Lepisosteus oculatus: one gene and its partner. The protein of the gene in region 2 interacts with the protein of the main gene of each other region in a biochemical or structural test. Links are inferred from orthologs where the notes say so. Each region holds a gene or a part of one and is shown on either strand. Other genes may lie near its edges.

Region 1 (7,019 bases), on a different chromosome or scaffold from region 2:
TAAAGGAAAAGCCATAAACAGCCTATTGTAAGCTTTCAAACAGGAATGAGTTGACCTCACAGACAGGCATGACACAAGGAAATGCTAATTAAAGCATCTTAAAAGAACAGCAAAATATACATCTCCGTGTGGGAAAGAGGAACTTGCTGGCTTGCCAAGACAAGGCACTGGAACTTCTTCCCAATGGCTTTAAGGCCATAATTTGTGGTTCAAAAACAGAACTGAGAAAATACCACTCTGTAAATAATTCCCATGACCGTATGCCCTTGAGATGTATTTCCCTTAATGGGTTTCACATATCATTCACTAAAGCAAAACCTCAATACCAAATGGCTGCACTTGTTTTTAATCTTGGTTATGTTGTGCCAAAGCTACATCCAGGCCAGTTTTGGCAGGAGTGGGTAGAGAGCCATACTTGTTTAAATGTTTTAAAAATGATTATGGTTAATGACAGTTGTGGGTCATGTGATTGTGAAATATATACATAACCCCTACCCCCCCTTGGTAAATCAGAAGAAACTCTGCTCATGTAAATATACGTGTGGATATGGAAAGTAGGCCAATGAGTGTAGATTGTTGTACCAACAGAAGCACACAGCTGAGGCGAATACAATATAGTGAGATTAGCTCAATTCAAAAGATCTGTGAGAACCAGGTTTCCTAAAGCATTTACAGAAAAGCCTAGCAGAAAGGGAAGTAAACCTGAAATGATTTTAAAGGAACTATCCCCACATATAAAATGGGAGGTGAATTTACATTTATTCATGCCAGAAAACTCTTCCCCCTCTCTTTTCCTTATATTCTAGAGTGGAGATCTCAGTCACCATGACCTGCTTTCTTGAAGATGAGGAGCAATTGGTATTTATAATTTAATCAAGCAATTAATTAAGTTAAGGGAATTAGTAGGTCTTCAGATTTGTGTTCCAAATGATTTTGAAATATTGTTGTTTCGCAGTGCTGGGGCCCTGGGTTCAGTTGCTGGGGTGCTATCAGCATGGAGTGTATATGTTCTCCGCATGTTTGTATGGGTTTCCTCTGGGTGCTTTAGTTTCCTCCCACAGCTCAAAGACATGCTGATAATGTCATTGACCTTAGTGTGTGTGTGTGTGTCTGCCCTGTGACAGACTGGCATCCTGCCCAGGGTGTAACCTGCTTTGTGCCCCTTGCTTGCCTGGATAGACTCCAGCTCCCCGGTTTGATAAAGTGGTTACAAAATGGATGAATGATTTCTAAATTACTTAATTAAGAAACAGTTTGATTGCTCACAGTTCAGTTGTGTTTTTATGTAAAACATACTTAAAACAAACACTAAGTAATGTACTGATGACTCCTAGACAAGGCTGTATATCTATAGAAATGACTTATAATTCATTTTAAGACTCAACTCCATTTAATAGTTAAAGATCATACTGCTCTGCATCTTAGCTTCTTTGTGTGCGAGGGCTGCAGTTGTACACAAAAGTGGCCGGACTCAGGCCCTTTCTTTCTCCCTTTAGTGGAAGCAGCTGATTGGAAAAGCTTTTTGTCCACGTTTCATTATTAATTTTCCATTTCCTCCGGACAAAGTCATACTATACTCCCTCACATACCAAGCCAAACCTCCAGTCTCAGCTAATTTTAGCAGATCTCCACATTTCCTATAGAAACGTGACCTGTGCTCCTTTGCATCCTTTATTTCTGACTCCTAATTTCCTGTGTTTTCATTTTAATACTCCAAAGCTTCTTTCGGTTACAGAGCCTCCACTGTTGGCGCTCAAATGGAGTGTTCTTGAGTTAAAGAAAGGTTAGTTATTACAGACTGCTGACTTATTATAGATGAGAAAGTCTCTGTTCATTAAAGCAACAGCCACAAACGCTCAAATGCAAATCTTGGTCATTATACAGAACTGAGAAAAACTAGAAAAATAGGTGATGAATGATTTTGGATTCATTAAGACCTTGTATTTTTCAGAACAAAATCTTATATTTAAACCTATTTGTATTTCAAAGAATGATTAGATAAAATGGCTACGGTTAGTTTAGTACAGCATTAACATCTATCTTCAAGCATTCCTTAACAAATATAGGAAAACCACATTCTAGGCCACATTTGGCTTTCCGTTAAAGAGCTACTATCTCTGAAGAATGAGAAACACGGACAGCTCTTTTTCTTTAGCTTTTGATAGTTATATACAAATATAATTTTCATTTTAGCAAGCCAAATTGTACACACCTGTAATTAATGAAAAGTGCAAGAGAAGATAACTTGAATTTGCTTAGTCAGAAGAATTAAAGTCCACTACAAGCAATGAAAGCCATTTTCTCATCTTACCTTGCCAATTGAGCCAAAAGGAAACACACTCAATAACAACTATTCCATTCTCCTGAATGCAATTTTTAAAAATAGCTCGTTCCCATGGCATTTGCAGAAGCCCTTGAGCTGTAATGAATCGCAGATGTTTCCCAGATGTTTTCTGCAGCCCTCAGGCTTCCCAAAGATGCCAAAAATCCACTGAGGATTGAGGGAATTGGTAAACACTGTGACACAGACCCAGAGTTCAGTGTTCATAAAAGGCCAGTCACCATTTGCAACAAAATGAAAGAAAAACTGAGAATTAGAAGCTCTGACTCCTAATGAAGAAGGAAATTTCTTGAAAAAAATACATCTTTAAATATGTCTGCAGTTAACCAAATGACAGAATGAATTATTGTCATATTATTGTTACATTAAACAGATAGCACAGATGTGTACTACAGAAACACACTCCCGAAACATTGTAAGTGTGTTTAAAAATCGGTATGATTGAAGAGATGATCAAATAAATTGAAATAACATGTTAAAAATGTATACTTGGATTCGAGTAGATGTTCTCTACAACAGCATAACAAACCTCTTTTAAATACATTTTACTCAAAAAAACTTTGAGTTTAATTGAAAAAACGTTGACCTCAGTTGTGAATACTGAGAACTGATTAGTTTTGCTTTTCTTCAGATTTATTGTACTGATATTCCTAAAGAGGCAAACGTATCATTGATACATGAGGGTCAGTGAAGGGTTTTCCAGCAGAAGAGATTAAATTACCTGGATGGGAGACCTCCTGCAAAAAACTAAGGTTGCTGCTGGAAGAGGTGTAAGTAGGGTCAGCAGGGGGCGCTCACCCTGCGGTCTGTGTGGGTCCTAATGTCCCAGTATAGTGACGGGGACACTATACTGTAAAAAAGGTGCCTTCTTTTCAGATGAGATGTAAAACTGTGGTCCTGGCTCTCTGTGGTCATTAAAAAGAGTGTTTCTCGAAAAGAGTAGGGGTGTTACCTCAGTGTCCTGGCCAAATTTCCCATTGGCCCTTACCAATCATGGCCTCCTATTAATCCCCATCTATGAACTGCATCACTGTTCTCCTCCCCACTGAGAGCTGGTGTGTGGGGAGCGAACTGGTGCACTCTGGCTGGTGTCGCATCATCTAGATGAGGATACACATTGGTGGAGGGGAGTCCCCACTACCTGGAAAACACCTTGAGTGAAGTGTCCAGAAAAGCGCTCTATAAATGGAAGGAATTATTACCATCGTAATAATTCAGGCCGACAGTCTACGCCTGTACTCAGCTCACAGTATCGGATTCTCTTGGATTTTCCGTCCAATGTATGTAAGCAGTGTCCTCTAGTGTAAGCTCTGGGAAGTCCAGTAATATACTTATGAAAAACATTTTTTTTTTAAAGTTGGTCCTGCCAGACTTTGGTCTGGAGAAATATGCACTAACAATTATCGAGCCTAAAAGCTAAATAAATTATTTTGCCTAAGAACACCACTTTTCATTTCGCCTGCCGTCTTTCCCTCAGTAAGTATGGCTACCCGCTCTGTTCTACGTACCCCTGCATACTTCCGTGAGAAATGAAGGCAAGTGTTGGCAAAATAGTGTCCTGGGCTGACGTCAGAGAGCGCTGTCGTCGCTGATTGGGCAAAGGAGTTCGCGGGAGTTTATGGCGCATGTGCTGTGAGCTTTGTGTCTGGTGTTGTGGCGCGCTTAAAACGTAGAGGAAGAATTCTGCTCCAGGTGTCTGATATAACCAAAACTTTTGAGCTACTAATAGTATTTTTTTTTGTTGTTCTCAGTATTGTTTTAATATATTCTAATCATGTGGAACCAAGGTAAGAGGTGTTAACCTTGTTCGTTGTAAAACAAGCGCTGACGCTTGTTTTAACATCTGATTTCTGGATTAAGCTGCATGTTGGACCGCGGTTTGTTTTGATGAGCAAGAATTTGAAATTTAGTTTGATTTACCTAAAAAATGTAAAGCGGTTTATCTTTTAATTTTCACTTAAGCTTTATTATACAGGATGCTACAAAACACTGAAAGAAGACCGTTATCCGTTTCCACTCGATTTGCTAACCAAATACTTCGAGATAAGTTTGAAAATCCAAAGAGAAATGTAATTATTACCGTGAACTTGGTAGTTGAATGTGAGTCACAGGTATGGGTCAGAACTGTTCTTGCTTATGTACGTAAATACAGTAGTAGTAACAAGACCTGTTCTGAAAGCTCGTTACAGCATCTAATTACAGGTACCCATAGTACTGACAAGATTTATGCGTCCAGTAAGTAAAACGACAGCACTGTTTTTAAGGTCTTTAAGGTAATATTTAGGCGTTTAATGATATTTGCAGTACAGAATTGAGTTTAGATGCAAGTTTAGTTTCAGTTGCAATACTTTGAAGGGACGAGCTCTTCCACTGGGGCCTCACAGTCCAGCTCAGGACTGTCCAGTCCTGGTGCCGGTACCCACTGTCCAGCAGGCTTTATACATCTCATTATGGGTGTAAGAACTGGGACAATCTGTTAAAGTGTCCCAATCTGGCTCAGCTGGGAGGAGCCCTGCAGTGACTGCACCAGAGTTGGGCACTCCTGGTCCACAGCTCTCTGGTCACTTGCTCACTGTCTAGGCTTTAGACGATCTGGTGTTTCCCAGGGAGAGCTGGTAGGGCCGGTGAGCGTGGACACCGCAGTGTGAGGCCGTCAGGACCCTTCTGGTCCACTTGCTGGGTTTCTCTCTGTAAACGGGTCTCTGTCGCAGGTTATGGCGACTCCAGCATGGCGGGGGGTTACACACAGTCCCCCGGGGGCTTCGGATCTCCTGCCCCCTCGCAAGGAGAGAAGAAATCGGTGAGTACACCGATTCTCCGGAAGCGCACCCGGAATAAGAAGGCAGAAACGGAACCCATACCCGCCACTGCCCCGTTGGCATGCGCTGTCTGATCTCCATTGAGGTAGAAGTCAAAGACGGGGGCTCATGCCACAGGAGCAGAAATGTTCTTGTGACTCGGCAGATTTGCACTTTGCCTTGCTGTGCACATTGGTGAAGTGAACGGAGACTGGCCAGCTGTTCATCCTGTACCCACCGAACACAGTGCTGGGGGGGGGGCCCTGGGGGGCTCATCCCACCCCTGCTCTTGGCGACACTTCTCCCGTTGGGCACGGCCACTTGGGACATCCTGGTCACGGCCGGAGTCGGCTTGAACCCGTGACGCAGGCCAACCAGGGGGACGAGGGGTGTGGAGCAAGCACCTTTACTGGTTGAGCCACTTGGGCTCCCAATTAAGTTGACTCGTTTAAATTAACTGAATTAATTGGCAGTGTGGTTGGCCCGCTGCGATGTGTCGGACTGATGTGGCGCCTGTTCTTTCTGCTCGTGCCGCAGAGAGCGAGGACACAGCAGATCGTCCCCTGCACCGTCTCCCAGCTGCTGTCCTCCTCCCAGGCAGAGGACGTCTTCAAGGTGGGCGAGGTGGAGGTCTCCCAGGTAAGGGCAGGTTCCGCTACGGCTCACCTGGGTGGCTTCCCACCAGGCCCTGCCTTGGGTTAAGCTCCTCGTTAAGGGTGTTATCAGGTCCCCTGCAAAAGCTGCGTTTGAGTGTCGTTTCTTTTGGTGCAGTAACCCCTTGGTTGATGTTTTTGTTCTGCCTAAAAACACACTATTATATGAGGGAAAAAAAATATGCATACTATATATATGCTTTCGGGGTGGTTTGACTTGGAACGATTCCAAGTCAAACGCGGTCAATGAAAATTCTTTTTGTGCTTTTTTTGTATTATATAACCTATTTTTTATCGTGTCATAAATAGACAATAAAATTCGCTAAAGCAAGCAAAGCACAAACAATACCCATCATAAACAATAGGCTTACCCCTACAGGGCATCGTTGAGACTGATGGGTAGTATTTTTTTTCTTTTTTTTTTTCTTATTCGTGTATTTCATTGTTAATGTGGGGAAAGTCTGATATTTATAATTTTACAGAGAAATTCTTCTTTAGCGGGTTTAGTTTATTACAACTGAAGTCTGTTAAACCAAGGGTTTAGATTACTTATTGCAATCTTTAATGTAAGGCTTGCTGTGAGGGTGGAGGGTGAAGGACCATGTGTTGCACTGATGGGAAACGCTGGGCTGATTTTGATCTGCAGGTTCACCATCTGGGTGTTTTCTAGGTCACATTAGTGGGGATTGTCCGTAACGCAGAGAAAGCTCCGACCAACATCCTGTACAAAGTGGACGATATGACAGGCCCGCCCTTGGACGTCAGGCAGTGGGTGGACACCGATGTAAGTGCTTTTGCCTGGAATTACATCTTTCATGTAACTGGATGGAATTTTCTAATGCAGATTCTTAGCATCCAATATGGTGTGAGAATTTCTGATGTTTTGTAGTACTGTTCTTACTACTGTTCTTTTTTTGTGATTATTTTGTTTTTGTTATTGACGGCACTTTTGAATATTTGAATTCCTGTATTATTTTTTAATTGTCTCATTTGTATTGACTATTTTTTATTTCTTCCAAATCGCCAATCCCCATAATGGACTCTTTATTTTCTCTTAAATGCTCTTTTTTTCTCTTTTAAAACATCAAGATCATCCAGAGTATACAAAAAGAAAAAAAGAAAACAAAGAGTTAAAAGAATCTCTGTCTTTTAAGTCTGGAATTAAAAAAAATATACAAAAGTACAATATAGCTAATCGTGAGAACAAATAAACAACTTTCCTCTTTC
Region 2 (7,659 bases):
AGAGAAACAGATGCTAGAGATCCGCCTGACTTTGAGAATCCGATTCCAATGTGGAAGGAGGTGGGACTCACGGGAAAGCTCTCCGAGACGGGCTCCTGCTCTCCTTCGTTTTGGAATTCCTCAGTCTCCACAATGACAGTAGATATCTGGGGGGTCCTTGGTGCTCCGCCCTGTCCAGCCAGCAGCCCACCTCTCCTCCTGGGGGAGTCACTGAAACACCGCACAGCACAGGAGGATCAGGCCTTCCTGTATCCTTTCCACACAGCTCATACACTAACAGCACGCAGGCTGCCAGGCACGGAGAGACCACTACGCCTGGGCCAGCTGCCACCTCAGCCTGAGCTGCAGATTCCACGCTTGTCTAGCAGGAACAAGCAGACAAACACAGGGAAAGAGACACAGACATGGCTCTCAGCAGACATGTATTCTTTGCATACAACACTGCAGAGTTTTCCAGCTGGAAGGATTCAGAAATGACACAGGTGCTGAAGCAACACAAACCAGCAAAGCAGAGAATCCTCTGGGAAAAAACGTTGACTTTAGGAAGGCCACACCTTCTCAGCGGTCTCCTCACCATTTCCTGCGGCCCGGAGACAACTGTCCTGGGCTAAATCTGCGATCTGGAACAACAACCTGCAGAGGGGAATCTCCTACAGGAAACAAAACAAAAGGGGCTCTTAAGGAACCAGTAATCTGCAGTCCTCAGGCAGCCTTTCCATACAAGCTTTCCTCTACTGTACTCAGAATCTGGGCAAGGATTTTTCCTTAAATGGACACACTGATGATCTGTCATTATGAGAGACTAATGTATTGACAAGTACTATTTAACAGGTCAAGATGTTTTTGTAGAACAAAGGCCACAGGACTAACACACAAAAAACTAAAAACCACATGTATAACACAAAACAAAACCTTTAACTACATGTTCACCACGACCCCTCGGTGTTCCACTTACTGCTCACGTTGAGCACAGCCCTGCTTCGCTCCTGGACCTGAGACTGGCTGACGCACAGGGGGGAGGGTCTCGCGTGCAGGGAGCTGTAGCAGATGGGAGTGGAGCACCCCAGCATGGCCTGAGGCACGCACACGGGGCTGGGGCTGGGGCTGTGCTGGCCGGGAGAGGGAGTCACAGACAGCAGCCCGGAGCTGCCCGGAGCCGGCGGGGAGGGCTGAGCTCTCTGATGCCGCACGTTCAGGATCCCATTCCGGGTGCGAACTGCAACATGGGCACACGGGCACACAGCAGGGGTGAGAGCTCCGATGAGCACACGGACACGCACGCAAAGAGAGAAGCGGTGCCAGACACCCGAGAACAAAGATCTGAAAGTACAGGCTGATACTGTAAATGTGCCAAAAGGCAGAGGGGAATAAAAATTCAAAGTCAAGAATGTTTGAGATTAAAAAATCATCAAATCTTTTTTTTTTTTAATATTGAAAGAGCCAGAAGCAATGAATAGTTACAATGCCAACAGACTGTGCAGGATCTGATTCATTATGAAACGATGGTCAATTTTAGCTAAGAAAACAATACAATATGCTTTTCTTTTCAATATGGGAACATCTGCGAATGCAAGACAGAACTTTCCAGAATGTCTGAGACCGACATGGAAGGAGACATTTATAAGAGGGTTATCATAAACATGCAGAGGAAAAAATCAGTTATCTTTTTTCTAAACCTTCAATTTCCCCTTTTCTCCTACAAGTCTGAGAAATCCATTTGACAGACTCATTATGGTATGAAAGACCTGTGGTTTCCTAAAATCTAAAATGCAGTGAAAAGATACCGGACAGAAAAAATAAACTGTATTTAAATAATAAAAATGAAAAGGCCAGCTTACATCTTTGGTTGTTGTAAATGCTTGGAGAGTTCTGCATACACCTAGTGAGAGCAATAGACATCATTAAGCCATCCTGAAAAACAGTTTTGCTCAAAAACATCTTTATTCATTTTACATTTCACTATTCTCATGCCAAGATAATATCTGACAGTCCTGCAAAATTTGGAATGTGTCAAATTATAATATTTCATTTCTTTAGAAATGGGATACTTATGACAGACTCCCCGGTTCCTAGTTTTAAATGTAGTTTCAACCTACGTCCTCTGGTTAATGCGTCACTCTGTTCAGAAGAATTCCACTGGGATGGGTTTGTCAATGCCTCTTTCTGTTGAAGCCTACAAAGCTTCAGTTCTAGTCTGTCTGTGTAGGGTGTACGCTGGTCCAGCAATGTATATGGTTACTCTACCCTGGACTGGTTCCTGAGCCATAGTAGTTTTTTCGTAACACAGGTGACACAAGAAATTGTTTGCATGATGTCAGGAGCTCATGACAGTTTATCTACAAGATTTTCTTCCATTCTGCAGCTCTGGTAAAAACACCGCTGCTGCGACAGTCTCCGGGAGCAAGTTCTTATGGTTGCATATCCTGAAACAAGAGGCTCCATTTACCCCCACCCCCAGAAATCCAGTTAAAGTTTCCTTTTACCTGATCTGATTCAGAGTGAAATCTAATTTCCTCCAGAGCGACGTCATCATAGCAGGTACCTGTGACTCCTGGCTGCATTCTTGACAAAAAAAAACAGTTGTATATTAACAAAACATGAACATATGAAGCTCTGAGTCTGAAGTTATTTTAAAACCTCCAGTACTTGCCTTTTGCTTTAATGGCAACGTATTCATTCAGAATGGTGTTCAGGTTTTTCCCAAACAAAGACTGCAAAGACAAAACAACATGATAAAACAGAACGTAGGGAAACATAGGATAAATCTGAGCACACTGCTCAGATTAGAGATGTCTAACACACTGTGTATGCTGTTTTCATGAAAACAAATCTAGCACATGAAACGCAAGCTATTTCATTCAGACAGCTAATGAGAGCTTTAGGTACGGTGAGACTTTCGCAGAGAATAAAGAGTGAAATTTTGCATGTGCATGCCATAAGATGCCGAATTTCCACAAGTCTTTCCATTACAGCGTACAGGGGCGAGGGGCTCTGCTGAGATCGGACAGCACTCACAAACACGCAGGCAGGAATCGCTCCGTCCTCGGTGCTGTGCTCCGCGTACTCCTTCAGGTCCGGACTCTCGCTGATGAACGCCCGGCAAGTGGCAGTCAGGCGCTCCTGTTGGAGATACCCTTGGCGCACCCCAGAACAAACAAGCACTCGGTTTACTTCATTTACTGGAATTTCAAAGCAATATCAACTCACCAGGGCATGCATCCAAAAATACACATCCTTTGTCAATAAGCGAATTATGCACAATTGTTCGGACATGACTGATTTCTGATAACGTCCTTGCAACTGAAATCTTGGCAAGGTCATAAACGCCACTGGAATACTATCAAAATCTGACATCTGATGTACTGGACATTTTTCCCCAGTATTAATAATTTCGTCACAGTCGTTATGGAATTTGACATTAACACGTACCTGGTGTGTAATTTAGTATTTTAGGTGGTAGTACTCCGACCACCGTTGTTTCAGACAGCTTACACCCAGTGGTATCGATATCATGCATCAAATATTATATGCAGTGCTTTCTGTTATCTACACAGTGAAAGACACGCTCTTTAGCTAACCATGCTCTTGTCCCCCAGATACAGGCTCTGGTACAGTACGTGTTGCAGGGGCCCTTTGTGATCAACACAGCTCTCAGCTGCGACCGCAGAGCAAACTCCCCGGCTACACGCCTGTGTCCCGCAACAGACCCCGCTGCGACCCCTCCAACTTACCCAAAACCAGCCTCGCAATGTCAGATGGTAGCAACATGGCTGTTGTGAAGCCTTTTCAACTGGCCCTCATACGCACAGTCATGAAAGAAAACCGAACAGCACACATTTGAGCCGTTATACTTTTTCTCAGCTCAGCTGAACACAACTCCCAATAACACCCACCCGCAGAAAAAGCGCGGAAATTCAGCACGTTTCACCCGGAAGTATTCGCCTAAAAGGCTGCATGGGAAATGTAGTTCGGGTGTTCGGTCAGTCAATGTCAGTACGCGAGACAGGGTTACATGGCGGATAATGTATTAACATATAGTAGCGCTCTTGGGTTCAGAATATTATATAAAACGTTAATTGTGCGTAACAATGGAAACTGGCATAAAATAAATCAGAGGTCCAAACAGATATTCTGTCAGTGGAAATGTTTTTATCAAAAATGTTATTGCAACAATAATATATACAATACAGACAAGAGTTTATATACATAACATCGTCAGGGGTACATAACACAGCTGCATTTTACAAAATAATTAAATGAGATAAATCAAGGTACGCACAGATTGTATATTCTTACGCTTATAGCAAAACGTCTGGAGACATGCTGTGTTTTGAACTGTTCAAATGGGGGTCTCTTCCCAGACCGTTTAATTTTATGTAAGTGTCATGATTAAATTTATGACAAATGATATGATATTCTGTATTTTTTTCAACGGGATTAAAAATACAGTGGCAGTGCGTTTAAAGCTCCAGTCTGCAGCTCCTGCACCAGAGACCCCCTGCCTCGCTGGGACTGGGGAGGCGGAGCTATCTCAGGAACTGGGGCCGTGATTGGCTAGCGGAACCGCCCGTCTTCGCAACGACCCGGAAATGAAGTTGAAGTTGGGGAGGCGCGGTTTGTGTTTGTATTGCTGTGCGTGCTGTGCTGTCTTTATAGTGGACAGTACTTGGGATTTAGTTTAAGTGAACGTCAGAACACGGCCCTGTCGTGAAATAAAGAAAGCTATATAAGGAGGTATGTGAATAGGTACCCAGTTCCCAGCGATTTTTAGATGCGGAGAATCATTTAGTAGTTTAAGATGATTTGACGTCAATTTTAATCAGACTGCATAGCTAGCTTACTTTACTTTAAAGTCTGGATCTTGATCGTATGTTTTTGGTAATACCGTGCAGATCTAAACAAGTGTGTGTAGCTCGCTTGTGATTGTTGAACGTGTACACCTAGCACGGTCATCGCCGATCTATTCTGAAGGCAGACGGGGACTCCTGGACTTGAAGCACCTGAAGCAGTGCTACTCCTGCTGTAATACTGCGTTCTCCGTCCGGCTGGTGTGGAAGGTCATCAGACGGCAATGTGGTCCTCTCATCGCCCGTGTGCGCTGTAGATCTTAGCAGGATCTCAGGGACTGCTCCTTACAGCTCAGTGGGATGGGGGGTTGGGCACTTTAAAAAACGAAACCAAAAACGTTTAAACTGCATTAATGTGAAACCCTTATTAATGGAATGATTTATGTATAGAATCGTTTGTGTTTGTGATCAGAAGGCATACTTTGAAGGGGTGTAATGAATCAAAACAGGCCTGTGTCTGCAACCCGCCCCCCACACACGCTTCTCCAGTTCGATTCTGTGCTCCTGCACTGTCAGTGCGGCGTCAGTACTCGACATCGATTCCCCTGTCTGCCTCTGCAGGCCCCCAGTGCAGCGCCACCCTGAGGACAACATGAGCCTGTTGCTGCATGAGCTCCTGATGTGCTGCCGTGGGCTGGAGAGCGACAAGGCCACGGAGAGGAAGGTAGATGCGTTCACCTCTGTGCAGGACAGGGGCGTGAGTCGCTCAGGAGTGACCAGATCACTTCAGTGCTGATGTTCAAAGGTTCAAAGGTTAATGAGGAAGCTGAAAAAGTCTGAGAATGTAATAAGCTTTCTTTCATTCATACATTTGTTTTTAAGTGAGTAACTTTTGGCATTCCTATGAAGCATTTTCCCTGACATAATGAGTGTTTTGACAATAGTGTGGATTTGATGTATTAAACAGCTGTAGATTAAACAATCAGTTGCCACTAGCAGAATGTTCTTAGGAGTCCACCTGTCAATGTTATTTTGCAGAAAGAAGCGGATAAATTTAAGCGGCTCATCGTGTCTCCTGAGACAGTTGAGGCCCTGGACAGAGCCAGTTCTTCAAGAGCAGCGAAGGGTTCCAAACAGCTCACCTGGGATGCTGTCTTTGGGTAGGTGCTCTTAAAATGAGCCCGAATGAATGACCGTGTGTGATGAGTTCATGCCGGTCTGCTCCAGGTCGCATTAGTCACTGAGGATGTTTCCTGTGTGTTAGTTGTGAAGCCTTGTTGTGGATTTTCTGTCACACAGCCTAACTGTGCTGTGCACCCACCCTTTCGCCGATTTGGTTTATACACACACGCAGCCCAGCAGTGCTCCTGTCTGGAACAGTGCTCACAGGGAGTCCTGGAGGTGCTCTGTTTGTAGCTGAGGGGGAATGCCTTGTAAAATGGCGAAGATGCACGTAAAGCCTCTTGCACAAGCCGCAGCTCTCACTGGCTCGTGTAGAAGCCCCAGTGCGCTGTGCTCCTGTGTTCTTGCACTGTACTGCCAGGGCAGCTGCAGGGTCTTACCTGCTCTGTAGCAGAGCAGCACAAGCAGGATGGCGCCTCTGCTGGCCTTGCAGGAGACAATGGTAAACCCACGAGTGACGGCCAGTGTGTAGTATTCTGAACTTGTCAGAAAACAAAAGCCCAGCTCCCCCGTTTTTACCACCAGGCTCTCAGTCGTGTGAGCGGGTCGCGATTTCAGCGGTCTGGCCGAGCGTAGTGACATCTGCAGCGAAAGGGGTGTTTAAGAAGCCCCTGCTGGACGTGCGGTTTAGAAATTGGATGCTTTAATTAACTGCGGCCCAGGCGAATCTGACAAAGCAGCGGCTCTCGTCCCTGAAGGGTTCTGCGCCGGTACGTGGAGAGAGAAACGGAGGCGCTGCAGACTGGGAAGGCCAATGTGTCCGCCACCACACAAGCAAACAGGCACAAAAAAATGCAGGAAGTCAGCAGCTTGCTCAAATTTTTCATCAGATGTGCAAACAAAAGTAAGTGACCATGTTTTAAGTCAACACAGATCTTTGGCAGCTCATTGACCGCTTGCTTAATCTCCTGCCTCCTTTCCCTGCCCGTTGTTCACACATTGGAGCGATTGCCTTTCGCAGGAGGCCCCCGCCTGAAGTGCACGGACCTCCTGGCTCACCTGGTGGGCGTCCTCAGGAGCTCCTTCTCCTGCAGTGCCTATGGAGAGGACTACAGCAGCATCCTGCTGAAGGACATCCTGTCTGTCCGCAAGTACTGGTGTGAGGTCACACAGCATCAGTGGGCTGGTAGGTGCCTTAACCAGCACCTGAGCTCCACTCCATTAAGTGTGTGAGCCCAGACTAATATATTCCCCATTCCGACTTCAGCTCAGCAGTCAGGGTGGAATTAGAGTCTGTACTTGGAAAGATTAACAATGAAATAGAACTGCTGTGCCGTGTTGAAGTGCTGATTCCCTGTGTTCTCCTGTCCAGAGCTGCTGGAGGTGTATTGCGGTTTCTACAACAGCAGCTCCAGTGCCATCAACCGCGTGCTGGTGAGCAGGATCATCCACACCCTGGTGAGGGGCTGCTGCCTGCAGACAGAGGGGCTGGTGCACAAGCTCTTCAAGTTCTTCTCCCGAGCGCTGCTGAACGCCAGGTACCGCACCTCGCTGCTCCGAGGAGAGCCCTGCCCTGCGGTCCGTGACGTCTGAGCGTGTGTTCTGTGCCTCGTGCAGGAGGGAGAAGTACCTGGCTGTCCTGGAGCACCTGCTGGCTGCTCTGAACATCTTCCTGAGGGCCTCGGCCGTGAACTGCCGCACACGGGTCTGCGGGCTGGGGGAGGAGCTCCTGCCCTCTGTCCTGTGCGTC

The links.
Region 1: of the proteins of atm (region 2) and rpa2, one has a biochemical effect on the other in vitro, tested with the Homo sapiens proteins (3 studies listed by BioGRID). The link is inferred for Lepisosteus oculatus from reciprocal best matches to the Homo sapiens genes ATM and RPA2.

What each region holds. Positions count from the first base shown.
Region 1 is NC_090706.1:4,816,034-4,823,052, reverse strand, and holds the start of rpa2 (replication protein A 32 kDa subunit), read left to right. Parts: upstream 1-3,967; 5' UTR 3,968-4,115; coding exon 4,116-4,128; intron 4,129-5,052; coding exon 5,053-5,141; intron 5,142-5,676; coding exon 5,677-5,778; intron 5,779-6,462; coding exon 6,463-6,576; intron 6,577-7,019. UniProt on the Homo sapiens protein: As part of the heterotrimeric replication protein A complex (RPA/RP-A), binds and stabilizes single-stranded DNA intermediates that form during DNA replication or upon DNA stress.
Region 2 is NC_090700.1:683,033-690,691, forward strand, and holds the start of atm (serine-protein kinase ATM), read left to right. Parts: upstream 1-4,616; 5' UTR 4,617-4,734; intron 4,735-5,408; 5' UTR 5,409-5,439; coding exon 5,440-5,511; intron 5,512-5,825; coding exon 5,826-5,947; intron 5,948-6,667; coding exon 6,668-6,813; intron 6,814-6,930; coding exon 6,931-7,095; intron 7,096-7,281; coding exon 7,282-7,447; intron 7,448-7,526; coding exon 7,527-7,659. Other genes in the region: protein NPAT, read right to left, coding at 72-210, 575-650, 956-1,216, 1,839-1,879, 2,484-2,562, 2,651-2,711, 3,016-3,134, 3,732-3,768.